Schizosaccharomyces pombe: one gene and its partner. The protein of the gene in region 1 interacts with the protein of each later gene in a biochemical or structural test. Each region holds a gene or a part of one and is shown in the gene's direction. Other genes may lie near its edges.

What was found.
Region 2: of the proteins of pmc4 (region 1) and cdk11, one has a biochemical effect on the other in vitro, tested with the Schizosaccharomyces pombe proteins (one study listed by BioGRID).

Annotation. Positions count from the first base shown.
Region 1 is NC_003423.3:3,515,639-3,519,913, forward strand, and holds pmc4 (mediator complex subunit Med4), read left to right. Parts: upstream 1-1,822; 5' UTR 1,823-1,850; coding exon 1,851-2,570; 3' UTR 2,571-2,827; coding exon of another isoform or gene 2,828-3,116; 3' UTR 3,117-3,158; coding exon of another isoform or gene 3,159-3,410; 3' UTR 3,411-3,451; downstream 3,452-4,275. Other genes in the region: cell wall glucan 1,6-beta-glucosidase Exg1, read left to right, coding at 1-723; TREX/TREX2 complex subunit Pci2, read right to left, coding at 2,828-3,116, 3,159-3,410, 3,466-3,963, 4,011-4,168, 4,235-4,275. UniProt on the Schizosaccharomyces pombe protein: Component of the Mediator complex, a coactivator involved in the regulated transcription of nearly all RNA polymerase II-dependent genes.
Region 2 is NC_003423.3:1,793,027-1,797,453, forward strand, and holds cdk11 (Cdk11-cyclinL compex kinase subunit Cdk11), read left to right. Parts: upstream 1-1,954; 5' UTR 1,955-2,213; coding exon 2,214-3,068; intron 3,069-3,113; exon of another isoform or gene 3,114-3,126; coding exon 3,127-3,468; 3' UTR 3,469-3,653; downstream 3,654-4,427. Other genes in the region: rps1601 (40S ribosomal protein uS9), read left to right, coding at 921-1,295, 1,467-1,514; vacuolar membrane cation-chloride cotransporter Vhc1, read left to right, coding at 3,988-4,427.

The DNA of each region.
Region 1 (4,275 bases):
TCTGGTAAGACTGGTTCCATTGGATGGCAGCAAAATGACACTGTAACTCGTACTCTTGACATTATTACCTATGTTGCTAATAAGTATACCCAATCTCAATATGCCAGCGTGGTTATTGGAATTGAGACGGTAAATGAGCCTTTGGGCTATGGTCTGGATATGGATCAACTTAAGCAATACGATTTAGATGCCTATAATATCGTCAATCCTCTTTCCAGCTCTGTTGCTACTATCATTCACGATGCCTATGTTGATCTTTCTATTTGGGATTATGGTGTTGTATCTCCTTCTTCATACAATCTTGTTATGGATGTCCATCGTTATCAACTTTACGAGTCGGATGAGTGCTCAAAGACTCTCGATGATCATCTTTCAGATGTTTGCTCCATTGGTGATTCCATTGCTTCCTCTCCCTACATTACTGTTACTGGCGAATGGTCCGGAACTTTAGCAGACTGCACGATTTTCGAAGAAGGAGTTGACTCTTCGACATTTATTGGACCAAACAGCGGTGATATTTCCACTTGGACGGATGAATATAAGGGAGCTGTTCGTCTGTTTATCGAAACTCAGTTAGATCAATTTGAACGCGGTGCTGGTTGGATTTACTGGACTGCTAAAACTGGTGGACCAAGTCCTACTTGGGATATGGGATTACTTATTGAATACGGCGTATTCCCTCAACCTTTCACTGATAGACAATATAGCTCTTACTGCGGTTAAGCAAAGCCATATCAAAGTTAAAAAAAAATTTTATCTATTCTAGCTGTATAACACTAATTTATATCTCACACATCGTTGTCATGTCCTGTCCTTGCATTTATCATCTACTATCATTTAACGTGCTGCTATCTACTATCCATTCAGTCTTTGTTTGTTTGGCATTATCTTTAGACATTAGTTTTTAATATATATTGTTGTTTTCGAAATCTTTTAGTTATGTGATATTAATATTTTGGTAGCAAGTTCCTACTAAATTAATATTTAGCTTAATAGTTTACGTTCAATATTGCATATTTTTTCGAACTCTATATTAACAGTAGCTGTACTTTGGAGAAAGTTGACCGAGAAATCTTTTTAAAGTTGTCCAATTGAATTTTCAATTATCAAGTATCTTCAGTTTACTTATATGAAATGTATTTTCTGCTCTACTCTTATAAGTCAGTATTGAGCCACATAGACGGACCACTTTGAGTTAGTCTCGGAAAAGCAAATCGACAGAATAGGTTTTCACTCAGCCACAGGTGACATATGTTTAAAATACTTTTATAAAAATTACATTTAAATTGAGCGATTTCTTGGTAAAGTAATATTACACATTTTCTGATCTGATATAGGCTTTATACGCATTAAACGAAATAAGCTCATTAAGCATTCTTTAACGAACTCGCTTTTTTAATTTAATGAGATATCTAATTCACTAGTATGTATTCATTATGTTGTCCCTAACAAGATCAAAATTGTTACACTGTAAATGTAACGTAGTTTGTCGACTAATTTATACGAATAATAGCTTTCTTCTTGCCCAAATTAGTGAAATTTGTTAGACAATTTAAACAATTAAAATCATATACAGAATTAAATTGACTAATTCTATTTAATCGAGAGTAACTTAAGTATTGTTCGTCGAGCGTATATACCAGCTGCTACTTATTGCCCTTGTGGAGGAGGACATTACTGTAATTTACCGTGTTTTAGCACATTAAACCTTTTAAGGATGTCTGTTTAACTAACGGTTACGGATGTTTAAGGAGTAAAAAGTCGAGTCTGCAAAATAACTGTAACCTGACCTACTAGATGATCGAGCAATTGTTGAGTAGTTAGTATATAGTAATCACATATGCTCCCCAATGGAATATCAAAGAGCCATTGATTCTATTGAAGAATGTCTCAATAAACAGTTAAGACTGTCATCCGAAAAGGTTGACCAATATGTACTAATAGAAAACTGGACCTCATTAGTAGGCCACTTGAAAACCTTACACTCTTTAATATCAAATTACACAAATGGTAGAGAATTACAAAATGAAATTAGTTCTTTGCTGAAGCAGGATAAGGAACTGGATTTACAAATTCAAGACTGCATGAGAGAAATGACCTCAATTTATGATACCCATCTTCCAAAAACAGTGTCGGGGAGAAAACGACAAAAAGTTAATGCTGAAACACTCCTTGATTATGGTAGAAAACTTTCCAAGTTTTCCTCTGCACCTCCTGGGTACAATCCCGAGACGGGTCAAGATGCAAAAGCTCCTGTGCATTATCCTTGGCCATCGGAGGACCAGATGCGAAAAACTCTGTTGTTTCAGTTTTCAACTAGCATGGTTCCAAATTTATCGGCTACAGCGTCCCAATTATTTTCTGAACAGCCTCCAAAGACGAACGAGCCAACGGAAACAGAAACAGAAATTGATGCGAACAAAGCCGTTGAAGAAAAAACTAAAATGAATTATCCTGCCTCTCCAACATTCACTACGCAAGAGGAAAATAAAGAAGTAGAATCGCCAGCTAATAAGGATGTCTTTGCAGGATTTGATCTTTTTGATCCAGAAATGGAAGAAGATTTTTGATTCTAAATTGTGTTATTTGTCAAGTGATATCTGGTATTTTACTTTTCTAATTATAGAGTTTTTTGCTTTGACCAAATACCCTTTTGTTTTAAAAATGAATAAAATTACGCTTTGCCGTTTAGACTGTATTTATTTAGCTTTCAGACTTCGCAAAGCAAGATGATTGAACACTGTTCCTTGCTTAACATTTGTCAATTCAAATTTAATTAATTTTAAGTATAATTTTCGAACAATCTACGTTTTCTGAGTTCATTTAATTATGCGTTAGCATGAAAAAATTCCTTTTCTGCGTGATCATTCCTTGCTATGGGCATAAGGCTCTCTATTACAGAAAAACCGAACGATGGGTCTTTTTTAAGGACTAAAGTTGATGATGCATGAATGATATAACCTTTAATATATCCTTGGTCAATTAGAGAAACACAGATACATTCGACATCGTCCATGTCATATGAGTTATCATTTGTACTTAAACGGGCCGCGGTTAACAAGTAAGAACCAGATACGTGCGGGGTTTTTTGGCTTTGCTCAAAAGTAAAAAGAAACCTTTTTAAATTAGTCGAATATTTTAAAAAATCTCAAACGTACACCTTTCTAAATAAATTCCTCCACAGGATGATTTCACATCTATCCAATAAAGTTAGATATATTCCTCGTTTGATAAACCATTTCCTCCTGGAATTGTCCTCCAAAGATAATCTGAACGACTTGATATCACCACTTTTCAAAGCTTTTATTAAAGGTTCGAATGCTGCAGTCAATTTGTATTTTTCTAATAGCCCTTTTGTTGGCGATTTTCCTAATATAAGTAAACACGTTGTAAGATAGATTAGAGAAAGCCTTTTTTGATTAGTAAATATAAACGAATCCTATTTTTGAGTAAAATAAAACATACCTTTTTTGATGATAACACTCATCAGGGCACTGAAGAAACGAAAAAAGTAGATGGTCCTTTGCCTGATGAATTTTGCGTTGATAAAGATGACACCTTCCTAAATAATAACGAAACGTTACTAATTCCGCCATTGTAGCGCGAGAAATATCGGCACCCGAAGAGATGACATTAGCTTGAATAGTTTGGCAAAGACGAATTTGCTTTAAGCGAAAATATAGTAAACAAAGTAAATTGGCAATACAGAATATCGCATCCTTCTTCGAAGGGTTAATGTTTTGTTGACGATCACTCAGTATACTATTGAACGTTCGTAAGACGTTCCTAGATGCATCGCTCACGTATTTCCTCTGTATGAACCCATTACCATCAAAAGAATCTTCTAAAGTAGGTGTAGATGTATCTAGCTGAAGGGAGAGCTTTACATAAAGCTTTGAAACGCGTTTTACAATTGTACACAACCATGCTCCATCGATATGGGAGAAGCAAGTTGTCAAGTTACTAGAAAAACAAAAGTGAGAAATAATAAACAAAAAGTTTTTAATTACCTATACAAGTTTTGTAACAATTCCCATTTTCGTTGATCAGGAGAAGATGCAGCATTTTCAACGTACTCAAAATAGGTAGTTACCAATTCCTTCCAACCTCTTATTCTTCCAAATTCTTTTTGAATGGTTCCGTTTAACTTATTTTTCCCCTTTCTATCCTTTATCACGGTTAGTTAATGTTATAACCTGAAGACAATTACTTGTAGTGCAAGCCTGCGACATACCAAAAAAAGAGTTTTACTGAGCTGTTGAAACGAGGGCTCTG
Region 2 (4,427 bases), 1.7 Mb from region 1:
AATGAAATTGCAAGTTGTGTTCCTTTAAAGAATTGACATATGCTCTTTAAGTCTACAATAATATTACAGAGTTTTAATTGGACTATTTTAAAGCTATCATTTTTGCCAATTAGAAAGGGATATATGTCCTTCATCAATTCACTCTTTCGTCCGATCACGGAGTGTCATCGGTGTATAAGGAGAGCTTTGTTCTCAAGATTATAATTTGTTGCAACGGTAGATTTTTCATATAAAAGTGTATTGAATAGCCCTTTTAAATGCACAGACATAATTCGATGCTTGTTTAATTTGCATTTTTTCTAAATCTTTTCACATGTAAACAAATTTATAAACACCGTTGAAAACCATTCGTAATCTTATATTTCACTGCATGTTCTTAATTAAATAAATTGTGATTAATAATTCTTATTGAATAATGTCCAGTGAGCTAAACCAAAAATTTGGTGTATCACAAATCACAGCACTTTAATCATTTTGCCTTGTTTGTTCGGACATTAGGAAGGAAATATAGTATGAAGAAAGCAATCTGTTATGCTCAATTTCGTGTCATTTCGGTTTTCATACAGAATATTTCCCCGTTCCCTCACAGTTCAATTTGTAACAAAGCAACCCAGCAGTAAATTCTCATAGACTTACGAAAATTTCAATACTTTCTGTCTCTACATTAACACTTAATGCTAAAGAATACCTCACGCGTTCTGCATTCTGTAGAATTCTACTTTTCACCTCGAACTTTATCACAGATCGTTATGCAGATCGTGCGTTACATTACGTTATTAGTTTAGTGCTTCGTATAATATATTTTATCGTAACAAAATAACTTTTGCTAATTCAGTGTGACTGTTTTTGCAAACAGGAACCATGCCGAAACTTTTTTGGCTTTCAGGACTACAACCCAGTAAAACTATCCACGAGCCAACATGCAGTCTGTTCAGTGCTTTGGAAAGAAAGGCAATGCCACAGCAGTCGCCCACTGTAAGGTCGGCAAGGGCTTGATCAAGGTCAACGGTGCCCCTCTCTCTCTTGTTCAACCCGAAATTTTGCGCATGAAGGTCTACGAGCCTATCTTGGTCGCTGGTGCCGATAAGTTTGCCGGTGTTGACATTCGTGTCCGTGTCTCTGGTGGTGGTCATGTTTCTCAAATCTATGCCATTCGTCAAGCCATCTCCAAGGCCATCGTTGCTTACTACCAAAAGTTCGTTGATGAACACTCCAAGGCTGAGCTTAAGAAGGCTCTCATTACTTATGACCGTACTTTGTTGGTTGCTGATCCTCGTCGTATGGAGCCCAAGAAGGTATGTGCTAAACGAAGAGAAGTTCATGACATCTTCGGAATCGATTTCTTGCACGATTTATTGTGTTGTCGAACTTGTTCCGTGTACAGAATGTTAATGATACTGTATCTCTCGATACGACATAACATTTGTTTCTTTTTTTTAGAATGTGTTACTAATGATTTTTTTTAGTTCGGTGGTCATGGTGCCCGTGCTCGTCAACAAAAGTCTTACCGTTAAAATGTGTTTGGCTGTTTGGCTTTTTTCCATTATGTATCTATACAATTGATTTATCATAAATATTGTTTGATACTGTGTACGAGCCAACCGTTGGTGTTTTCGTAAACCCTTATTCATAATTCTTCGGTATTGACATATATGAAACAAAAGTTCAGTGTACGAGAAAGCGACTGTAGAAATGTATTTAGAGATTTTAATAGTACTTATAGTTTCTATAGTGCTGTCGTGTAATTGCTTAGTCGATTAGGTGTAGTGGAAATTCCTTGTTCGGTATTGTAGGAATATCAAAATGGTAGATTGAACGAACGAGTTAGGTGAGTAGGGCCGCCGCCATATGATGGATTGTGTTTTTTGAGTGTTCAAAATTAAACAATTAAAGATTATTTAATTCAAGGTTGCTTCTTCTTTTTTAGTGTTTTGAAAATCTCTCACTATGCACTGTGCGACTGCACTTACGCAGGTCACTTCTTACTTTTTTAAATATCACATGTCGAAACGGCTTGCTGAAAAAAAAATAGGAGTTTTGATCATTTTACTTTTCTGCTAATATTCAGTTAGAAATCCCACAGTGGTTATCGAGCAATGTCATTTTAATTGAGAACAAACAAGCACCGAAAAATAAATCCTTATTTGAAGTAGATAGTTTTGCAAATCTAACGATAAATTTACTTGATAAAATTTGAGTGATTAGACACCATTATGGCAGGCTCCAAGTGGGAGACAGAAGAAACGAATCAATTCGCAATTGAAAATCAAAAATTAGAAGAGGAATGGCGTAAAAAGCGACGGTTAGAAAAAAAAAGAAAAAGAAAAATATTAGAGGAAGAAGAGAAAGCTGAAGAAAGAAACATTGATGCTTGCAGGCTCTACTTGATGGGGAATACACCTGAACTTAAGTCTTGCAATTCTATTGATGATTATGAAATATTGGAAAAAATTGAGGAGGGATCTTACGGAATCGTTTATCGAGGTCTTGACAAAAGTACGAATACCCTGGTTGCACTCAAAAAGATTAAGTTTGACCCTAATGGAATTGGATTCCCTATTACTAGTCTGCGAGAAATTGAATCACTATCCAGCATTCGACATGATAATATTGTAGAATTGGAAAAAGTGGTTGTTGGTAAAGATTTGAAGGATGTTTACCTAGTTATGGAGTTCATGGAACATGATCTCAAAACATTACTTGATAACATGCCCGAAGATTTCTTACAATCTGAAGTCAAAACACTGATGCTTCAACTTTTGGCTGCCACGGCATTTATGCATCACCATTGGTATCTACATAGAGATTTAAAGCCTTCTAACTTGCTAATGAATAACACCGGCGAAATCAAACTCGCCGACTTTGGATTGGCAAGGCCAGTATCAGAACCCAAATCCTCTTTGACACGCTTAGTTGTGACTCTTTGGTATCGTGCTCCTGAACTTTTGCTTGGTGCACCAAGCTATGGTAAAGAAATTGACATGTGGAGCATTGGATGTATCTTCGCTGAAATGATTACTAGGACTCCTTTGTTTTCTGGGAAAAGTGAGTTAGATCAATTATACAAGGTATGCGATTTTTGATTTTTTATTCTTACCTTAAAAAATTCCTAACAATAATATTAAGATATTCAATTTGCTCGGTTATCCGACTAGGGAAGAGTGGCCCCAATATTTTCTTCTTCCTTATGCAAACAAAATTAAACACCCTACGGTCCCTACCCACTCTAAGATTCGTACTTCTATCCCTAATTTAACGGGAAACGCGTACGATTTATTAAATCGACTTTTAAGTCTAAATCCTGCGAAGAGAATATCTGCCAAAGAAGCACTAGAACATCCTTATTTTTACGAATCTCCCAGACCCAAGGATCCTAAATTTTTTCCTACTTTTCCTAGTAAGGCCAAAGGTGAATCAAAAGAAAAAAACGTGTTTCAAAGTTTTCGTAGTGCATCTCCAAAGAAGTGATTTTGATGAAGTGAATATTGGCATTATAATACGTGGAAATGTAATTGGCCTTAATTTACACTACTTATATTACTAATATTTAGATATTTCTTTATTTTTTCCGTTTAGTCCCCAAATTGCAATTGTAATTGTAAACATTTTATGATATCATTGATTTTCGATTTATGGCCATTTATTTGAGTAAAATTTCTCCCTTTCTACAAAACGTTTCACTCATAGTGTTCAGTAGTCCTATTTTTAACTGAGGTAAGTGTATTCGAGCATCGATGTTTTCAAGCAAGCTGGTAATGAACTTTCATGAATTGATAGTAATCTGTTGCAAAGTATTGTCAAAAAATTTTTCTTATATCACTGCTGATGGTTTTACTATATCTATGGGACCCCTGTTTCTATTACATGACTACACTCACTCTTCCTTACCATTTCCAATTTTTTTAGTATTTAATAACCTTGACAGTTCCTACCACAAAATTATTGCCTTCCTTATTTTATATTTAATGGGGATAATTTTTTGTGATTATGGCAAGACTTTTAACTAAATCAAGTCAAGTATTTGATTTTTTGGCAGATAGATTATCAGTACGAAAATCCAGACGATTTTGGGAAACACAGGAAAATTTAGAGTCTTCCACACCTTTATTACAAGAACCACAACAAAGTTATCGTAGTAATAGTTTTAATGAATTACCTCCGTTGTCTAGAAGTGTAACGTTTGCTGAGAATGAACAACCAAATGAAGCGGTGAAATTGGGAACGTTTGAAGGTTGTTTCATTCCAACTACTTTAAACGTACTCTCCATCCTTCTTTATTTGAGATTTCCTTGGATTATTGGAGAAGCTGGTGTTCTTAAAACATTGCTGATGTTATTTATTAGTTATGCGGTAGGTATATTTACAAGTCTATCGATCTCTGCAATTTGCACGAACGGTATGGTACGTGGCGGAGGTGCATATTATGC